Notamacropus eugenii: one gene and its partner. The protein of the gene in region 2 purifies or fractionates together with the protein of the main gene of each other region. This does not show direct contact. Links are inferred from orthologs where the notes say so. Each region holds a gene or a part of one and is shown on either strand. Other genes may lie near its edges. The genes, in order: MAPK8 and DUSP4.

Region 1 (10,487 bases), on a different chromosome or scaffold from region 2:
GTACAATTCTTGCAGCTTTCTAAATTGATTTCTTTTCTCAAATCTGAACAAAGAACTGTATAATACTCCTTGGGGTCTCAAGAGAGTGCCAAGGGCTTGAGACATCAAATCTGGTCCAACCCCTCATTTCACTGATGAGGAAACAGGTTCAGAAAGAGTGATTACCTACAATTTGAGACTCATGATTCCGATTTCAAGAATCTTTCCACTATATCACACTGCCTCACATAGTGAAAGATCCTAAAGATTAAGCAGTCAAGTTCATAGGGGAAAATCACTTTGAAGACACAAGTAACAAGAAATGTGAAGTATAATAACTAAGATTTCATCTCCAATCCACCCAACTGAAATGTCAGAGGGTCTGTGGAAAGACAGGTACCCTAATAATCCCCTACCTTCTCCTCCCATATCATCCCCTCTCCTAAATTTTTAAATCCCTCATCCACTGGCTCCTTACCTATTGTTCCAAATATCCCCAGATCTACTCCATACTTAAAAGAGCCTTCACTAATTGTTTTCCTCAAGCTATTGGAGGTCTCCTATCCCATATTTTGCCTCCTTTTCCCAGGCAAACACTTAGGAAAAAACTATTTCACTGCTTCTACTCTCATTTCTCAATCTGGTTTCTGACCTTGCTCTCCTGAAAATGTTCTTTCCAAGGCTACTAATGATCTCCTAAATGCCTTTCTTGGCTTCTCTTTGAAATGTTTAGCACTATTGGCCATTCTCTTCCTCCCTGATATCATCTCCTCCTTGGGTTTCATATTCCTGTTCTTTCCTATCCTACTAACTGTTCAGTTGCTCCTTCACCATGTCTTTTCCTAGAACATCATCCTCCCAACCGGCTCTTCTCTTTTCTCTCTTTGCTCCTGGTGGTCTCATCAGCTCCCATGGGCTCAATTATCAGCTCCATCCAGAAGACTCCCAAATAGGTACCCTCCCTGCCACATATACATATGTGTAGGTGTGTCTACCTGAGTCTTCTGGATATGTGTTTGTGTATATGTATATGTGTGTCATGTACAGACAGACATACACATTCCCAGTTTTTCTGAATTCAGTCCCACATTACTAACTGCTTAATGGGTAGTTCCGCATATCCATCCTCTTACTAACTTCCAAATTTCTGTTAAGGGTTGCACAATCCTTCTAGTCACCCAGGTTCCCAAATTCAGTCATCCTCCATTCTTGTTTTTCCCTCACCCCCAATCAGCTGACAAGCCTCACTGATTCTACCTCCACAGTGCCCCTCATATCATCTTCTCTCCACTCACACAGCCACTACCTTAGTCCAGGTCCTCATCACCTTTTGCCCTGGACTACTGTAATAGCCTAGTAGTCTCCCCAAATCTAGTCTCTCCAATCCACAAGCTTCCATACAGTTGCCAAACTGATATTCCTAAGGCACACATCTATGTCACTCTCCTGCTCAGTAAGCTCCAACAGCTTCCTCTTGCTTCTAGGATATAATACCAGTTCTTTCATTTGGCTTTCAAAGCCCTTCACAACCAGTCTCCAGTGTACTTACTCAGTCCTACTAAACACGACTCTCCTCCACACTTGCTGTTTCTCACACCCAATATGCCACCTAACATCTCTGTGCCTTGCACAGGCTGATCAATCACTCTTGTCTAGAATGAGCTCCCTCTTCTTCTCTAGCTCAGAGAAATGCTACCTGCCTTGGAAAGTCAGCTCAAGTGGAATACTCTGAACAGGGAGCTCTCCTAATCCTGTCCTTTGTTAATGCCCTCACTCAAGAAATTACTTTCTGTTTTGTATTCCATCTTTTAGTTCAGCCTGTTTCCCCTAATAGAATATAAATTCCTTGAGAGAAGGAATTTTTCTATTTTTGTCTTCGTATCCACAGGGCTCGGCACATAGGGGATACTTAATAACTGCTACACCTTGCTTTTGGAGCTCTGAACTGACTCAAACATGCTATAAAATGATTTTGGAATTATGTAAGAAAAGCCACCAAGCTGTTCATGACCTCTGATCAGGAAGTTGTAATCAGGCAGAGAGTCCAAAGAGGTCAATGACAGAAAGAAAGGCCTTCTATGTAACAAGTCATAGCAGCACTCCCACTGTGGCAGTAAAGAACTGGCTGGCTTAAAAAAAAAAAAAGTAGATGCCCATCAAAGGGGTAAATATATACTGTAATCTATTAATGAAATATTATACAGTAAGAAGCACTAATATGGAGAATTCAGAGAAATATACAAAGATTTCTATGACGTGATACAGGTGTGGGAAAAACAGGACCAGATGAACAATTTCACAACAATAATGTCAAGGTAAAAAAAACATTAAAAGGAAGCTGAACTCAATGGGTATAATGAAAAATCTTGGTTCTGAGAAGAGAATAAAATAGTTTTCTTCTCAGAAGGAAAGTGGATTGCAGAACACTGAACCGTGGGTATCAAATTTTGTGTACACAGGTTTTATCCATCACTTTGGTTTATTTTTCTTTGTTACAAGAGAGGGCTTAAGGAGGAGGAAGAAAGGGGATATAAAATGAGAAATGACTGTGATGCAGAGATAAAAATATAAAATTTCATTACCTGCAATTTAAGGAGCACATGCTTCCTTTAATTTTTTTTTTATAACAAAGCAAATTGAAAATATGTTAGTGCCATAAATACTTCTGGCTTAATAATTAGAACTTGTACCTTTCATAATACAAACATTCAGACAACTATTTACTGTATCCGAACATTCTTGATTTTAGTATTATGAGGTTCCTTTTAAGAAGGTCAATTTACTGAAGCAATAACACTTCAACAAAGTTGTTCAAGATCCCCCTACTCTGGTGATAGGTAGTACATATGAAAGTATGGCCACTTAGTCACAACTGTATGTGGCTTACCAAAATGCACGGACAAAATGTTGTGCAAAATTTTTCAAAAACTGCAATTTCAGTTCACATTTAATCCTTCAGTTTCTAATATATTGGAACATTTAATCCTCCAACTTAAAAAAAATAGTAAAAGCACCTTGCATGGAATCATAGAATATTAATGACAAAAGGAGTCAGGGAAACAGTCCCTTCATTTCACAAATGAGGATCTTAAACACTAGGTTATCTTATAGCTTTATTTAAGGATAAATCAGGGCTATGACTGTAGACAAGGCAACATTCACATACCACACTGAACTACTTCATTTTACCTTCTACTCCTAGCTCTGACATAGTGTGGGATGACTGCCAAGAAGCCACATTAACAAAAAAAAAGTAGCATGAGCTCGGAATTAAATAAGTTAATTAATTGCACTTAGTGGGAAGGTTTTTTTGATTGTTTTATTTTTACCTTAGCTATTGTGGCATAGCTGACAGGCTGACCTTGGAATCATCAAGACACAGGTTCAAGTCCCTCCTCTGACAGATACTGCCCTTGTAATCCCAGGCAAGTCACAACCTCTCAGCACCTAGGCATCTGAGATGGTCAACTGCAGAAGAGGTACCAACCTACAATTATCAGAAGGAATTTCCTTACCTGAGAGTTCCCTATGGGAATACAATCAATAGTCCAGTTCCTATCCCTAATTTAAGCAAATTGCACTTATTGGGCACAGTTTAATAGGATGGTGATGAATGTTATTGAATTCACAGAATATATACGAGGGAAGACAAGAAAAGAAAAAACAAAGACCATATGCTTTTACTAATTTACCCAAACTCCAAATAACACAGCTGCAGTCCAAAGTGTGACTCGGACAGTCAAGTCAGTCAAGACACAATCATTAAACGCGTATTACGTGCCAGGGACTATAAGCATAAGCGTTTAGAGATATACAGAAAAGATCAGTTCCTTACTTAAGATTTTAAAAATCTCATAAGAACACCACAAGCTAAAACAGTCCATTTGCCATTCACCGGCCGAGGACTCATCGCCGGTACCAATAATTTTTTTTTTTTTTTGCATTGATGTATCTGCATATAACTGATGCATCTGTGCTTTACATTACTGGCATAAACAAGGCTCCACAGAACACAAAAAGCAAACAAAAACACACACACACTCAAAAACCCAGGATGCCCTAGAGCGTCAACTCAGCCACTACACATGGTCCAGGATGGGAATGATAAGACCATTTTCTTTTTACATACCCAGGATCTACGAGGTACTCGCTGCACGCTTCCAGTCCCCGTCCCGGCCTTCAAGGACTACAGATCTCCCCCCTCCCCCAAAGTCTTTGAGAACTTCTCCCCCATCCCTGGCCATTTAAAAAATACAATATGCAAGTGGGGAAAATACGCTAAGCACAGACCACCCTTTCGGGGCCGCCGCCGCGGGAGGAGGGAGGTGGGTACCCATCTAGCTCTCGGGCTCCCGAGGTCCCGGGGCTGGAGGCGGTGGGGGGGCGGGGAGGAAAACGGTGGGGCAGCAGCGCGTCATCGCCCCCGGCCCCGTCCCCTCCCCCTCTGGGTCCTCCTCCCCGCCCCCTCCCCCTCCTGGCCCCCTTCACCCCGCTATTGTTCTCCGGATCCCCCGGCATCCTCTCCCCGGTCCCCAGGCGGGCCCCCTCCCCCCTCGCGGGGACGCGCGCCCCTCCCCCTCGCCGCCCCCTCCTCCTCCTTCCCCTCCCCCTCCGGAGGGGGTCACCGCGGCGGCGGCGGCGGCACAATAACATAAACACAGCCGTTACGACCGGAGGAGCCGCCCCCGGGCTCTGGGCCCGGCTCTGCACTCACCCAGGCAAGCGAAGCGCGCGCCGAAGGGAGGAAGGCCCCCGGGGTCGCCGCGGGGGCGGCCGAGGGGCAGGGGAGGACGGGACAGGCGTCCGAGCCCGAGCTCGAGCGGCTGGCTGGCCGGTCCACCGAGCTCGTCCGGGCTCGTCCGGGCTCCGGGCCGCGTCCTCCTGCCTCCACCGCTCGGCTAAGGAACAAGAGCGCCGGCCGTCACCGCGCACGCTTCCACGTCATCCCGCAGGGCCCCGCCCCCTGACCGCTCCCCCGCCCACGAAGGGGCGGGGCGATTCGGATCCCGGGGGGCGGGGCCAGCCGTAGCAAGAGCGAAGTGCGGGGAGGGCTGACCCAGGTGGCCGGAGAGGAGAGGCCGGGGAGAAGCAAAGGCGGATCTGAATAGGGGGAGGGGCAAAAAAGAAAGTATGAATGAGGGGCGTGGCCAGAGCTGGGCCCGATGGGGGCGGGGACTACGTTTTTGTAAATTTCCCGGCTGAGTGGCTGATACTGACAATTCACATTTAGATAGCATTTAATTAAGAAAGAATAAAGAGGAAAGGTAACGAATAATGTGCTGTCAGAAAGACTCGGTTCAAATTCCTCTTCTGACCTTGGTCTCGTCACTCAGCCTCCAGGTGCCTCGGGCAAATTCCTAGAATTTCTCTCCTAACTCACTACCAGAGGGAATTTGGGGAAAATCACTTGACCTCCCCGGCCTCGGTTTCCTCCTCTGTAACAGGTGGGGAACTGGTCTCTCCGCACTCCGGGGTCTCTGCCAAGAGTTTATCTTTAGTGCTAGCACGTCCAGGTGGAGATCTGAGGGAGTTCTTCCATGATGACAAAGCTGTAGATCCTTCTAGCATCCAAGTTTATTTTGTTTTTAAGGCAAAAACCAAAATATGCCTTTTCTTCTTGACCTCCAGGTCAGCTAGGTGGTAGGAGAGGAAACTGGTAAGTGGAAGGACTAAAACCCTGCTTTCCACTCAAAATACCATGCTGCTTCTCAGTGCCAAAGAAGCCAGCCTGAGGTAGAACTATAAAGCTGAAAAAGAACCTGTGTACCTACTGTGTGCCCACTTGTAAACCTTCGATTGGAGACTTCTTGCTGACCAGGCCCACCTCGCAGTCACCTCCCTCCCCCAATATTCATGTTTGTCTTAGTCGTTGTTGTGTGGAGTGTAGTGGAAAGAACACTAGCCGTTGAATTCAGGACACTTGGGTTTTATTCCTGCCTCTTCCATTTACTAGTTGGGTGACCTGGGGCAAGTCACTGAAGCTCCAGTACCTCACCTGTAAAATGAGAGTAAGAATATTTGCATTGCCTAACCCAATCACAAATGAAATGATATATAAAGGTATTTTGTAAAGCATAATCTATATGTCAGTAATCCATTCACTGTGGCAGCTAGGTGGTAAAGTGGATAGATCCCTGAACCTGAAGTCAGGAAGACCAGAGTTCAAATTTGACCTCAGATCCCTATTAGCTATGTGACTGAACAAATCCCTTAGCGCTGTTTGTTTCAGTTTCCTCATCTGTAAAATGAACTGGAGAAGGAAATGGCAAACCACTTCAGCATCTTTGCCAAAAAAACCCCAAAGAGTTGAAGATGACAACAAAAACAGCAAATATACTCATATGTCTATAAAACACCCCTTAGTGCTTTGTTAAGTGGTATATAAATGTCTGTTCATTTTAACAGCCTGGTACAGAGGAATGGCTATGTGGCCCTGGACAAGTCACTTAATCTCTGTTTCCTCTTTTATAAAAGAAAGGATGGGCTAGATAAAGGTCCTTTCTAGCTATAAATCTATGCTCCCATGACTTTCTATTAGCAAGGTGCTGGGAATACAAGAACAAAAGCCAAACAGGCCCTGCCATGAAGGAACTTCCATTCTACTGGGAAGAATTAACATATATACAGAAAGATTTGTACTAAGCAACACATCTTAGCTAGTATAATTTAGTAGATAAATCCTAGAACATTACTTGAGGCTCAGACAGATTAAATGAATTGTCCATCATTCACACTGCTAGTATATGTCAGAAGTGGAATTTGAATACAACTCTTCCTGACTCCAAGTCTAGTACTCTATAAGGTATGCAACAATTCAAGTCACTATCTAAATATGGATGTTAGAGTTGGAAAGGATAGAGAAGGCCAAATTTCTCGTTAAAACAATAACTGATATTTGGAGAATACTCAAAATGTGTGAAGTGCTTTAAACACTATCTCACTCAAGACTCATAGTACTGTGAAGCAGATAATATAGCTATCACTATCCCTACTTTATAGATAAGAATACTGAGGCAAAGAAAATTTGTGTGTCTTACCAAGAGTCACACAACTTATTTCTTGCTTATTAGTAAGAGTTGAACACACTCTTCCCAATGCCAAATGCAGCACTGTATATACATTCAACCACTCTGTCTTCTCAAAGTAACTAAATAATCTGTCTAAAGGCACCCAGCTCATTTTAGCTTGCTCTGGAATCCACTGGATTTTCTGATTCTTTTCTCACTGTTTGTCCCATTGTTATTACTTTCTTTTAAAAACAGAAATTCTCCCTTTCCTTTGAAGAAAAATAAAGATGACTTGAATATAGGAATATTTTTATTCTCTACCTTATTGTGATTCTCTTTTCTGGAGAGTTTACAAGTCATTGGTGTCTTGACTACACTTCAAGATAAACTTGCTGATTTATACAGAGCTGTCTATCTCCCGGTTTCTGAGGAAATGAACAGCTCTGCCTTATCAAACATGTATAGCTACCAAGTTATACACAACTATACACATGTACACATAGGCTTCTCCTTACACCTATGCCCAGACCATTGTTGGGGTCACCATTTGTCAAAATCAGTTCTTTCTTAAAGTACACATCACTACTTATATCACCCTGCATTCACACGCATTGCTACCAACAAGTGAGTCTTTTATTTTAACTTTTTTTTTTTAAAGCACAAAAACTACAAAGTCTTTTGATTGTGAATGTACATTTTAGGGGGACAGGTTGTGTGTAGTTTTCACTTTTATAGAAACAAAAGAATTATGAAAAAGGAAGGCTAATTTCAAGGAGGATAAAGCTGAGAAAGCACAGAGGAATGCTTTGTAAAGATGGTAGATAAAAGGTAGATTGTTTTGGTACTTGTGGTCCTGGTGTACAACTCTTAACCATTCACACCCTGCTTCCCAAGTGATCCAGGTAGACTGAAGAGTGCCGAAGAAAGGGGAGAGAAGGAGTGAGAGTGAGGAGAGAGAGAGAGAGAGAGAGAGAGAGAGAGAGAGAGAGACAGAGAGACAGAGAGAGACAGAGAGAGACAGAGAGAGAGAGAGAGAGAGAGAGAGAGAGAGAGAGAGAGAGAGATGGTTTTTGCTTTCTGTGACTACATATACCCAGCTACTCAAACCTCTTTCAAGAGATATGATATGAGCCAGACTCCATGCTAAGTACAAGGAATGCAAATATAAAGGTACAACAACCCCTACCCTCAAGGAGTTTAAATTGTAATGGAAGAAAACACATATAGAGTAGTGGTGAAGAGGGAAGGGAGTTCTGATATAAGGAATCATGGGAATGGATTGATACATACGGCAGCTCCCTTTTTAGAAGTAAGAGCAATTAATAGATTTAGGGTCAGAGAACCTGAGTTCAGATTTTGACTAACTTTTTACTTGTATAATGTTGGGTAAATTACTTCCTTTCTCTGGGATTCCATTTCCTCACCTGTAAAATGAGGTAAATAGTCTTTATTCTTGAAAGCCTCTTGTAGTTCTAGATTCTATGATGCTATGACTCGGCCAGCTTCCTCAATATATCCCATACTTGGTTACACAGTTTTCCTCTACTCCATCACCTCTTATTATCCTTAAGATTTCAACATCTATACTGATGATCCTCCCATCTATTTAACTTTACAACTCTTCCACTGCCTGCATTCCAATGACTTAATTCTCAAATTCACTTTAGCTATCATATGCTTGATCAAATCCTGGACCTTGCCATCAGTTTGAATTGCCTGTGCCTCCAAGGTTTTGAATTCTGAAATTATTCTCTTTGACCAAACCCGTCTATCCTTCTACTCCTCCCATTCTCTTACTTCTCCTGAATCTACCCTTTACCACTTATGGTGACCTCCAATTCCCCAAGACCTCCCTATTCTTACCCCTCATCAAAATCAGTTTCTGGTCTCACTTATGAAACTAAGCTGATGCTTTAGCCCCATCTCAACCCATCCTCCATGAAATGCATGCCAGTGATACTATAATTATTTTGGTATGTACAGAAACAATGCAGAGTGGTTGACTGTCACCAGTAACAGTGAACTTATGACCTGGGTTTTTAAATATGCCATGCAGCTGCCCCAGGCTGCTGGTTGACACTTCCTAGGGTATTTGTAGCTATTACTAACAAAGGAAGCTTCTGTGTACTAATTGGATTGTTCAGTGTTCAGGCTCCTTGTGATACTGTTTAATTTGTTCCCTACTAACAGTGATCTAGGGCAAGTGCCTAGCCTTATCTCCTCAGCTATTTATTAGTTGTTACTGACATAAGTCTAATTATTTGGTTCTATTTTGCTTTATAGTTATTCGTGTACATGTTGGGACCAATTACAAAACTATAAACCCCTTATGGATAGGAGCCGTGCCTTAATGTTTTCTCTCCCTCCATGCCTAACATGGTGGTCTGTACATCATAGACCTCCCCACTCAACGCTTATGAAAGTAGAGAGGTAAAGTGATACAGAAAATGCACACTAGTTCTGGAGTTGGAGGTCCCGGGTTCAAATTCTGCCTGTGATATTCACTATCTCTTTGACATTGGAAACTTAGCATTTCTGAATCTCAGGTTCTTCATCTTTGTCTCACTGTTTCTGTGTGTGTGTGTGTGTGCGTGTGTGTGTGTGTGTGTGTGTGTGTGTGTGAGAGAGAGAGAGAGAGAGAGAGAGAATAGTAGGGTAGTAGCTGTAATACCAATTTGACTGGATTATGGAAAGTATTAACTGAATTAACATATACAAACTTCAAAATAGACTTCATCTATTATTTTTATTGATGGAGGAGAGAGAGGTCAATGGAAATGGGCTCTGGACCTCAAATATCCGCTTGTCTCCTGGCAAGAGAAAATGGGTGGTAGGAAGAAGAGGCAGGAAGGATGGACAGGAGTATGGAAGAAAATCTAGAAAACAGAAACAGCAGGATTTGCTACACTCTGCTTGAGCTAGATAGGCTCATGATCCCAGTGGATGCATCTGGTAGGAGCTAATGATGCTCAAATCATAGGGTCCTCAAATATCAACAGTTCTAAAAACAGTCTTTTCCTAGTTGCAGCCAGACCAGCCCCAACTCAACCTCTACCAGAGAGTGGGAGGTGGGAAAGATGACTTCTGAAGGAGAAAAAATATAGACAGTTTAGTCCCTATTGATCTCTTTCCCTCTCTTTTCTCCACCTCTCATCCCATCTAGATATGCTGAAATAACTAAAAGCAGGTTAAGTTTACCTTCAGGGCTATCCTTCCAAGTAAGCACAATGCCATGTTGGGGCAATGGTAAATTCCCAGATTCTTCCATCTGTTCCCTGATGTCACAAATTCCTTTAATAAGAGACAAATCCCTTTATTCCACATAGAGAGACCCAAGGTTTAAAATACAAATAAGTGAGATTCATATAGGGCTGTAAAGTTGGCAAAATGCTTTTCATTCATTATCTGATTTAAGCTTCACAACAATCCCACAAGTATTACTGCTAACTATTAAGCTTACTTTATAAATTAGGTAATAGGCTCAAGGCTGTCAAGTATTTC
Region 2 (10,304 bases):
CCTCCAATCTACTATAGTTTTCTCCAGTCCAAAGTTCTCTTGTTTTGAATTTGGATTATGTATTTAAACGTCTACATGTTCTTTCCCCTGACAAAATGTAAGCTCTTGGGGTCAGGGACTACTTCCTTTTTGCTTTTGTATCCTCAGTGCCTACCACACAGTAGGAACTTAATGTTTTATTTACTGATAATTCTACAATCCTTTCTGAGCCTTCACTTTCTCCTCCATGAAAAGGAGACAGTAACACCCACAGTACCTACATCACTAGGTTCTTGAGGTACACAAACATGATACTGTGTGGAAAGCATTTTGCAAACCTTAAAGGTCAGTGCACATATCAGGTATTCTTATTACCCCCAGGGCCCAAGAAAGTGCCATTCACATGGAACAGGTTTGGGTTATTCTCTTTAATGAATAGATGGATGGATAGAAGGATGAACGGTCTATGATGATGATAATAATTTGTATTAATATGGTGCTTTTCATCATGAGTTCATTAAGCAATTTCCTCACAAGAGTTCTGTGAGATTGGCAATGCCAGTTGAATCATCCCCATTTGACAGCTGAGAAAATTAAGTCTAGAGCGGGGAAGTGATCTAGCCACCCAGTGTTCAATAAGGAGTATCTGAGTCTGGTTCTGCTATCCCAGATCTCGCACTTGTCTACAGTTCTTGCTTGTCTTCCAAGATGCCTCTTCCAGAAGCTGTGGCCATTTTGTGGTGGTGAGCCAGTGAATGCCACTCCATCCCACTACCACTAAAGGCAACTGTTGATCACAAGCAGCATAAGGTCAAGAAGCTGAAGAGAGTGAGTAAGTGTGGCTCCATCACTATCCCTTCTGACCACAAAGCAGGAGGACTTGCTTGGGATAAGGGAGCTGCCTATGTCATCCCTGTGAGCTGAGGGTATCTGACTGCTCCTTCTACCTAATTCTTAAGAAGGTGATACCCCTCTGGAAGCTTCCCAGGCATATTCTGTTCTGCCAAGCTTTGTCCAAATTGGGGTCCCCAGCACACCAGAGGTCTTAGAAAGAGATTTTGAGAAGTCAGTTTTAGCTTTAAAAATTTACTGCTCAGTTGGACTGCATTGTTCTAGATAAACCCTGTAACTGTATGATCCAGTCCAGCAATTCTTAAGCTAAGGACTCTGGGGATTCTTTGATAAATTTCAGGAAGTTCATGAACTTAAATGGGGCAAAAGGAGGGAACTACATCTTAATTTCAATATAATCGTTTCATTTGTGATGCTGTGTATTCTATTTTAGGCATTTAAAAATCTGTATCTGAGAAGGGATCCAGAGGCTTCACCTTGACTCCCAAAGGAGTCCGGGACATAAGAAGGGCTAACTCTGATCCGGTCCATGCTCCCCAACAGCAGCTGCCTCCTACCCACATCAGCTAGGATGATGCCTAGTCTTCCTATCCCAGACAGCAGGACAGTGACACCAAATGCCAATCAAGTTTTAGCAGACCGAAATTATATTATAGAAAGAGGGCACCCTGCCAAGTTTACATAAAGCCAGCATTCAGCACATGCTTAGCAAATGGGCAGCATATTCTTTGTGCCCGTTCCTTAAGAGAAATGTTTACACGTTTGCTTTCATTCTGATTGTATCTGAGCATAATCGTCCCATTTTTATAAGAGTCAACTCTGTCATGTTGGTTGATGGGCAAACAGGTGGTGCATGTCCAAAAAATATATGCTCATCAGAAGTACTTATGTCAGAAAGAAGTAGGCAGATTTCATAGCAAGAGGAAGAAATAGCAAAGGGTACCCCAACCTTAAGAACAGAAGCACAGCCAGGTGATCAGCACCTTGGGCAGCTCCTCCTGGAGGATGTTCAGGAAGGTAGCACAAAGCTTCCACATCCAAACCAAGATCTTGGCTCTGGTGAAATGCAGGCTCAAAGTCAATCATGCTGGTGGTGGTGGACTTGAGTGAGGGGAAGGAGAGGAGTAGGGAAGGTTATGTCCAAGACTCCATCCTGGGCTTCTGAATTTCTACTCTAGCCGATGAAAGAGGCAATTTCTGGGTAATACGGTAACCCATGTCTATATCATTCCTCAGTTCTTTCACTCTTGCAAACTAGAATAGTTTCAAAAGGTAACAGTTAAACGTTACTGAGACTTGTACTAGGGGAAAGTCCTAAATGGACGATTAAAGAGACGGTTGGTGATTTCTAAAAGGGAAGCAGTAATTACAAAGAGATCGTCCAGCTTTCTCAAGCCCAGTCAGGGCAGACCAACCTTATTCCCTTTTTTAGTGGGACTATTTCACTTGTTGATAAGGGACTTTCTATAGTCATAGTATACCTCCATTTTAGCCTAATGCTTGATAAAGATTTCATTTGTTGTGGAAAAGGAGAGAGATGGTTCAGAATCTTGCACAGAGCACTGGAGTCAGGAAGTCTCCTCTTCCTGAGTTCAAATCTGGCCTCAGACACTTACTAACTGTGTGACCCTGGGCAAGTCACTTAACACTGCCTTAGTTCCTCAACTGTAAAATGAACTGGAGAGGGAAATGGCAAACCACTCTAGGTGTCTTTGCCAAGAAAGCCCAAACAAGGTCACAGAGGCAGACATGACTGAACAACAACAAACCCACCCTGGAACCTCTCTGGGCCTGTTTTTCCTCACCGATAAAAAGTGGAGGTCAGACCAGATGGCCCCTGAAGCCCCTTCCAGCTAAGTATAGATCCAGGATCCTATAAATATTCACGTTCCCATCAATAGCTCCGGGAGGAAGAGCATCACCAGTGGAGGCTCTACCCACCCTATGAAATTGCTGGCGCCAAACTCAAAATAGAAAGAGGGGTCATTAAGCCACACACAATGTACTTTTTTTTTTATTTTGTTCAATATTTCACAATTCCATTTTAATTTGGTCTTCACCAACCTTGGGCCAAGGGGTTACTGGTGAGATTGACAACTCTGCTCTAAAACAATCCAAGGAACCACACAGAACTTTGAACAGCTGTCTCCAGACAAATACCCTGATGCCAGCAGCAGACAGTTCGTGTTCTCCTTCCTCTCCCTCTGTCCCTCCCCCTTTGTGCCTCCCTTTCCCTCGCTCCCTTCCTCTCCCCCTCTGTCTCTCTCCTGCAGGAGAGAATGCAGATTGCTGGCAGCTAGTCAATCACAAGAACCCTGAAAAAAGTAATACTCCACCCCAGTCAGCCCCAAACACTCGAAAAGCAAAAACTCAGAGAATGGCACTGTCTTCTCCAACCCATGCTAGACAACCTGGGGGGAAGGGGATGCAGGGGGCAGCCCTTTCTCATATGACTGAAAAAGGCAACAGTTCTCCCTGGTTTTTGGTAGCCAGCAGGCAGCCACCATGGTGTATGTAGCAGGAGGAAGCCAGAAGCGAGCAGTCAAGAGAGTCCCCTGGTTCAGCCACTGTGTGTGTGTCTGTACAACAAAAGAGTTAAACCTGATGATTTAAAGACCATGGGGTCCCTCCTCACTCTGATGCTCCACCATTTTTGATCCTCTGTCATGGTCACATCCTATGCACAAGGCATTCAAAGGCTCCTTCCAGCCCTCACCTTCTGTGTTAGGGTCCCTTCACCTCTGATATTGTTCTAAGACATTTCCTGTTCCCTGGTCCCTCTCCCCTCTGACATTTCCTGCTCTAGGCCCCCTCACAGCTCCTATAAGCTCTGTTCCAAGCTTCTTTCCCCCTTCCACATTCCCAGTTCCAAGCTAACACCCTGCCCTCTCCCCCTCACAGTCTGGGATACGCTCAAGGCTTGTTTCCTTTGCTCTGGGTGGCAAATAGGGGAATCTAAGGGCGAGTCAGGGCTATGGCAGGGGATGCTAGCGGTTCAACCACAGGTCACTGGCCTTTCCCAACAGCTGATGAGGCAAATGGCCCGGGTGCATGTGTGGTAACAAGAGCCCCTGTGGCTCAAGGGCCTCTTGGCTGGGCTGGGAAACTAGGGACGTCTCCACGAGGCCAGGTGGGCTTTGGTCTGCCAGGGGGGACCCTGGGAGGTGCCAGCCTTCTGAGTTCTGGGATGTAAGGAAGCGGGTGGTTTTCAGGAGGGGGTCATGGCCTGGGTTAAGGGGGCGGGAGCGGTCAGGAAGACACCACCTCCCCAGGCACTCAGATACGGCTCCGTGGCCCAGAGTTTCCTGGACGGGGGGAGAGGTGCACAGGATCCCTGAGTCCTCTTTTCCCCGTCCCTCCCGTGAAGGGACTGGCCCTGAGTGTCAGAGGCAGGACGCGAACGAGCTCTGCCTCCAGACCCGACGAGCTTTTCCACCACCAACCCCAGCCACGCGTGGAGGAGCTGGCCTTGAACCCAGGTGCTGAAAGGGAGCCCGGGGATCCAGCCCGCCCCTGACCAGGGTCCGAGCCCCCGAGCGCACTCCCCCGCCCCCGCCCGCCCCGTGCTCACCTCGCAGCAGGTAGAGGGGTGCGGGCGCGCGTGGCACGGCCCCCCGCAGGGCGCGCACCACCCAGGCCAGGGCGCCGTCGGGGGCGCGCAGGGCCTCGGCCGCGCGCTGGCTGCGCTGGTCGTACAGCACCACGGTCCCGCAGAGGCCGGCACGTAGGCGGCGGCCCCGGGCCTCGGCGTCCGGCCCGTCGGCGGCGGGCAGCAGCTGCTCCAGCCGGCCCGGCCCGTCGGGGGCGCGCCTGCGCGCGATAGTGTGGCAGCGCACGGGGAGCGCGCCGCGGATGCAGCCCGCGCCGTGGGCCAGGAAGGGCCGGCAGTCCAGCAGCAGGCACATGCCCCCGCCGGGCCCGACGCCCGACCCGCCGGCACGCTCGCGCTCGTCGCGGCTCAGGAGCCTCCGCAGCGCGCTGCTCTCCAGCTCCCGGAGCTCTCCGGCCGCCACCATGACCCCCGCAGGCCGGCCACCCTCCCCGGAGCCTGTGGCCGCCGCGCCGCGTCCTCGCCCCGCGCCCGCCGCCCCCGCGCCTCGCGGATTTATCCTCCGGCAGGCTCGGGGCCCCGCCCCTCCCCCTGGTGAATGGAGCGGCGCGGGGCGGGGGCGGGGGGCGGGGGCTGACGTCACAATGGGCCGGAGGAACCCCGGCTCCGGGCCATTCACAAATCCGGACCGGCCAGAGGCCCGCGAGCGCAGGGCTGCGGGGCTGGGGCTGCCGCGGCCGGGCCTCAGTTTCCTTCTCTGTACAACGCGGGGCGATCTCCGAGGGCCCGCCGGCGCTGGACTCCAGGGTCCGTGCCCAGCACTCAGCCGGCACTAGGGAAGGGCGCTCCGGGCACGGGGCCAGTCCTCGGGCCGGGCACACTCAGAGATCCCGGCCGCAGCCCGGCTCCGCGGGGAGGGAGACAGACGTCCCCAGGGCTGGGGGCCTCCGCCCCTCCTGGCACCGGCCTGGCGACTGGCTGCGCCGAGCGGGTGCCAGGAGCCGTCCCAAAGCCGGGGCTGAGAGGTCGGGGGCAAAGCCTCGTTTCCTCTCTCGGGATCTGTCGGGTCCCGTGGGGTGGGAGAGTCGGTGTGCCAGGCCAGCGCCCGGTGCCCGTCCCAGTCGGGTCTGCCCCCTCCTCCTACTCTGCCCAGAGGCTTTCTCTCTCTGGCCCGCCCCTAACTCTGCCAGCGCCTTCCTCCCCCCCATTCTCTCCTTGAGCCTCTTCTCCCCCTTTTTCTTTTCCTTTCCCCCTCCCCAGCGCCTCCCATAACCTCCTGGCCCTGACAGAGATAGAATGGGGGTCGGTGTAGCTGAGGCCAAGGGACCTAGAAAGTCTGAGCTGAAAGAAACCTGGGCCTTCCAGCCATTTCCCCACTCTCTTAGTGGACACGGGGTAGAGGGAGAGGCAGGACTGTCCCTTACTACTTTAAGACCAGAATTTGCCTTGGAAGGAACCTCCACGACCATTCAGTCCAAGACCTAGAACCCCTAAGGTCTCTTATAAAGGGTCAGTCAGTTGCAGCTGGCAGATGTGCTTGGTGGGTGGATGGCTCAGCTCCCACTCCTTCCCGTACCCCAGACCCTGCCACACTTAGACAGCCCTGGCTGTTAGGAAGAGAGTCAATCAATCTATGATCAATCAATCAACATTTCTGAAGTGCCAATACGTGACTGGGCCTATGTAGGCTGTCTCTCCTCAGCTTCTCCACTTAGCTCCAAGTTCTGCCCTATGGAGCCAAGAGCAGAACAAGCCCCAGACAGAGGGGGTGGCCATTCAAACACCATAAAATGGGGCTGGTGTCCCCTCCTCCAGGCCCAACAATCTCAGGTCGTCTGGCCTGTCTTTATGTGCTCATCCATCTCCAATTCAGGGTTTCTTAACCTTTTGGGGGAGTCCTGGACCCCCTGGCAATTGATCTTGTGAAGCCTTGGACCCTTACTCTGAACATGTACAACAGATGTAGGATCCCATTGGCAGCCAAAGGTGAATGTTTCCCCGTCCGCATTCACTGATTCCCTGAAACCTATCCAGGGGCTCTGGGGGTTCAGAACCCATGGTCCAGTATGGCCATCTCATTTTACAGAACCCTATTGGAGAGAGTGTGAAATGAAATCGTTGCTTGTGAAAGGAGCAGGGACCCAAGAGAAAATGATTGTTGGTGACGGAGCGGGTGTCTACAGGCAGGTGACAGCAGTGATGGCCCTCTGGTACGCTACCTTGGGTAGGGTCGGATGCGGACTTCACAATGGCCCAGGATCCCGGGAGCCAGCTCAGCTTCCTGGGAAGGCACTGCTGAGCCCCACAGAGTGGGGCTGCTACCTGATACCCTAGTACCCACTTTCCTTGTGTGTCCCCAATCCTTTCCAGCTCAGCTTCTGATGGGAGAGGAAGGGCATGACCTAGGAAATCAATAGCTGCCTTGAAAGTGGTGACCATGTAGGTAGGAACATTCCTGCTGCTGCCTGCTCTCTGAGCTGGCATTCTTGCTTCTTCATGGGCATAACAAGGATGGTGGTAGTAGATGACCCACCTGGGAGAGAAAGGACTCAAATGTCCTTTGAGTCTCGGAGTGGGCACTGAATCATAGCCTTGAGGGCTGGGAGAAAAGGACTGGCACTAGGTACTTGGCACCAGGCCAGGAGTAGGGAGGGGCACATCTGAGCCTGGTGGCTTTGTTTTTACAGCCAATGTACTAGAATTTTCACACCTAGATAAGCACCCAGGGGTTTCACCAAGTACCCAGAAGGCAGTGAGCACAGTGCCTGGACCAGAGCAGGTGCTTCATGAATGTCTATTGACTGACTGAGGGTCAGGCACTTGTCTGTGGTTACAAGTCTGGGGATGTGAGAGAATTGGAAGTGAAAGCTAGCTCAAAGCAGAATGGGCTAGCCCCAACAGAGCACAGCTGGGACCAGAAGATGACATACCTGAGACGTGGAGAGTGGAACTGACTTACCTCCAGTCACACACACACACACACACACACACACACAGAGAGAGAGAGAGAGAGGCAGGGCCAGGATGGCCCCTAACTCTGGGTTTGGCAGCTTCTTGGAGAGAGAACAGATTCATTGAATTCAGTCTCTCCCAGCCTAGATTCCACGGCCAATCCTCTTTCTCAGGCTGCTATGGTGCCAAGGAAGGGCCTCCCTCAGGCTGGGAAGGCTGCCTTGCCTTGACTCAGAGCATTCTTCGAGCTTTGGGCTGCTTTGGAATGGCCCTGAATCACAGAAGCTAGTCATCCTCAAAAGTCACATCACATCACATCAAGTCAAGGTGCCCCATGTTTGTCTTTAAAGCACAACTTTGGTGTAGGTACCAGACAGAGTAGAGAGTCCTGTATGACTCCAGCTAAGCTTCCTAGGGTGATTCCACCCTGTAACGTCCCCTATGCCTGTTTTACCAGCAGGCTCAGAAAACTGAATCCTGGATTTAAGCCAGAAGACAGGCCCTTGGGTGTATGAGCTCTGTGGCCAATAATAGGACATTTCCTTGGGATTAGACTGGCTGGTCTCCCAATGGCCTTCCAGCCTATCTGCCCACTGCAGCCAGTCACCTGGCCCCCAGACCCACAGGAACTCTGGGGAGAAACCCCATAGAGTCTCCTGGGAAAGTAGAGATGTTCTCAGTCAATGAGGCAGTCTACAAACACTTATGAAGTGCCCCACAGGGCCCAGTGCTATGATAAGTGGGAGAGGCATCCCTGGCTAAGGAAGCGGCAGGTTTTGCTCTGGAAGGTGCCTTTCTCTCTAGGTCTCAGTGTTTTCCTCTTTAGAATGAGTAGATCAGACAGATGGCTGGCCCTGAAGGTTCCTTTAGAGTCCATTCCGTGCCTGGTGTGGGAGCTCCCCTTTGCACAACGACCCAGGTATGGCTTGGAAGGCCCCTCTCACACCTCAGATTTCTGGGGCTCCTGCCTCCCCCCAGGGAGCCTGTCCCTGGAGTAAACTTCAATCAAGGGAGCGGGCTTAGTTACTCAAGGAGAAATAGAACCCATACAGTACCACTAAAAAATCCTCCCTCCACCACGACCCAGACAGCCCCCATGACTCACAGCGCCAGAAAAGAGAGAGATGGGTCCAGATGGTCCCTCTATTCATGTGACTCCCAGCTTCCCTGATTTCTGTAGGGCCAGAAGGAGTGAGGCCACAGGCTTCCTCTTCTCCATCACTGCTCTGGGCCTCAGCCCGGCCCGGACTACACCAGCCTCTCGGCCCAGGTTTCTTGGCATCAGGCTCCTCCTTGACGCTCAACTTCCCTCACGTCTTTCTCTGATTAACTGAACCACACCTACCTTACAGAAGAGGAAACTGAGGCACTCATTGTGCTCTAACCATTATACTAGGCTGTCTGGTAACTCCATAAGAATTAATCAAAGGAATTGGAAGTCTTCAACCTGGAGAGGAGATTTAGTGGAGGTCATGGGAATTACGTTTAAGTGAATGGATTCATAGGAAGGAGATGCTACTCCTGCCTAACCCTGGAGAACAGGTTTTGGCACTTTGGGTGCAAACTGTAGTTAGGCAGAGTGAGACTTGCCAGATTGGCACAGTCGGGAAGTGGGATGGGCATCTTTTGGAAGGAGTGAGGTAGGTCCTGTGGTCTGGGACATCCAGTGGGGATTCTGGTTGAAGGACAGGCCAACCTAGCTGGCCTCTGAGGTCCTATGTCTTGGGGAGATTTTGGATTCCAAAGCAATGTCCCAGTTCCCTCCCCCATTCTCCTCTGCAGAGCACCCACTGGACCTCATGTTCCCCCTAGCATCTTTCCAGCCACCTTCTTTGCGGTCCCTGTTTCTAGCAGCGCTGGCTCTTTTGGGCCACACAGAGACATGTGACCAGAGTCTCTTCTCTTCACTCTCCTTGTCTCCTCTTGACTCACCTGGCACTGAACCCACAGGTTCCTCCCACTCCCCATACTGGTGTGGCCTCTGCCCAGCCGAGAAGCTAGTGACCGCCCCCAGGCCTTGTCAGCTGCTTCCTCAGAACTGGGAGCACAAAGGCCGTCTCATGGAAGTTTGCTTATGCTGGGAGACAGCTGTCCAGAAAATAACCCAAGCTAAAGGGCTATAAGTACTTCCTGCCTCCAGGCAGCACCATCACACTCTCTCCCATTCAAAGGGATTTCTTTCCATTTGTGAGGAAATGTGATCCCCTCCAATCCACATACTAAGCCAGGTAGGGGTGGAGGAGAGGAAACGCTACCTTTCCAGACTGGAGTTTCAGCTAGGTTCAAAGGCTTATACACTGAATGCTAGTCTCTTCTACTTTGAGTCTCAGCTTTCTAATCTGTAGAACGGGGATAACCGATGCTCCCAGACTCTCCTGTAGCTGCTTGAATGAAAAGAGCACACTGAATACGTGCTCAACTGTGGATGCAAATCTAAGCAAACCCCTGTCCTTAAGGAACTGCCATTTTGCTACCAGGAAACACCCCTTATCAAGGGGGACAAAGAGCCAGGATGCTGCAGATTGGAGCCCCAGGGTCGTTGACTGGCCAGTACTCTCTAGTGTTAACAAGGAGGCAGTCAGTCCAGGCGGAACAAGGACCACTGCCAATCAGAAGCTCCTGGTCTCGACACCATTTTCTGCCCTAACCCAGCAGTATGTGTGAAGAGAGACAGATGTCCCTAGTCCTAGGGGCTGGGAGCCTCCATGGCTGGAGCCTTTCTGCCTTAATAGAGGAGTTCATAAGCAATGCTATGTGTCCCTCAGCTGCCAAAGTCCCCACTCATCCCAACTGCTCCTAGGGAGACCCATGAAGTCTGACCCTGAGCTCCTCCCAGGAAGCCTCGAAGCTGAGCAGGACCATCCCAAGTTACTGCTCTAGGGGGCATGGGCTTGGAGAGTCCAGAAGGGGGCATTGGAGGGCATCCTGGAGTCAAGGAAGGCCTCACCTTTACTAGGGAGCTGGGCACAGG

The links.
Region 1: the proteins of DUSP4 (region 2) and MAPK8 purify together in Homo sapiens (affinity purification with western blotting; 3 studies listed by BioGRID and IntAct, with this or other methods). This does not show direct contact. The link is inferred for Notamacropus eugenii from reciprocal best matches to the Homo sapiens genes DUSP4 and MAPK8.

Annotation. Positions count from the first base shown.
Region 1 is NC_092872.1:219,736,896-219,747,382, forward strand, and holds the start of MAPK8 (mitogen-activated protein kinase 8), read right to left. Parts: upstream 4,829-10,487; 5' UTR 4,694-4,828; intron 1-4,693. UniProt on the Homo sapiens protein: Serine/threonine-protein kinase involved in various processes such as cell proliferation, differentiation, migration, transformation and programmed cell death.
Region 2 is NC_092878.1:167,816,967-167,827,270, reverse strand, and holds the start of DUSP4 (dual specificity protein phosphatase 4), read right to left. Parts: upstream 4,905-10,304; 5' UTR 4,848-4,904; coding exon 4,403-4,847; intron 1-4,402. UniProt on the Homo sapiens protein: Regulates mitogenic signal transduction by dephosphorylating both Thr and Tyr residues on MAP kinases ERK1 and ERK2.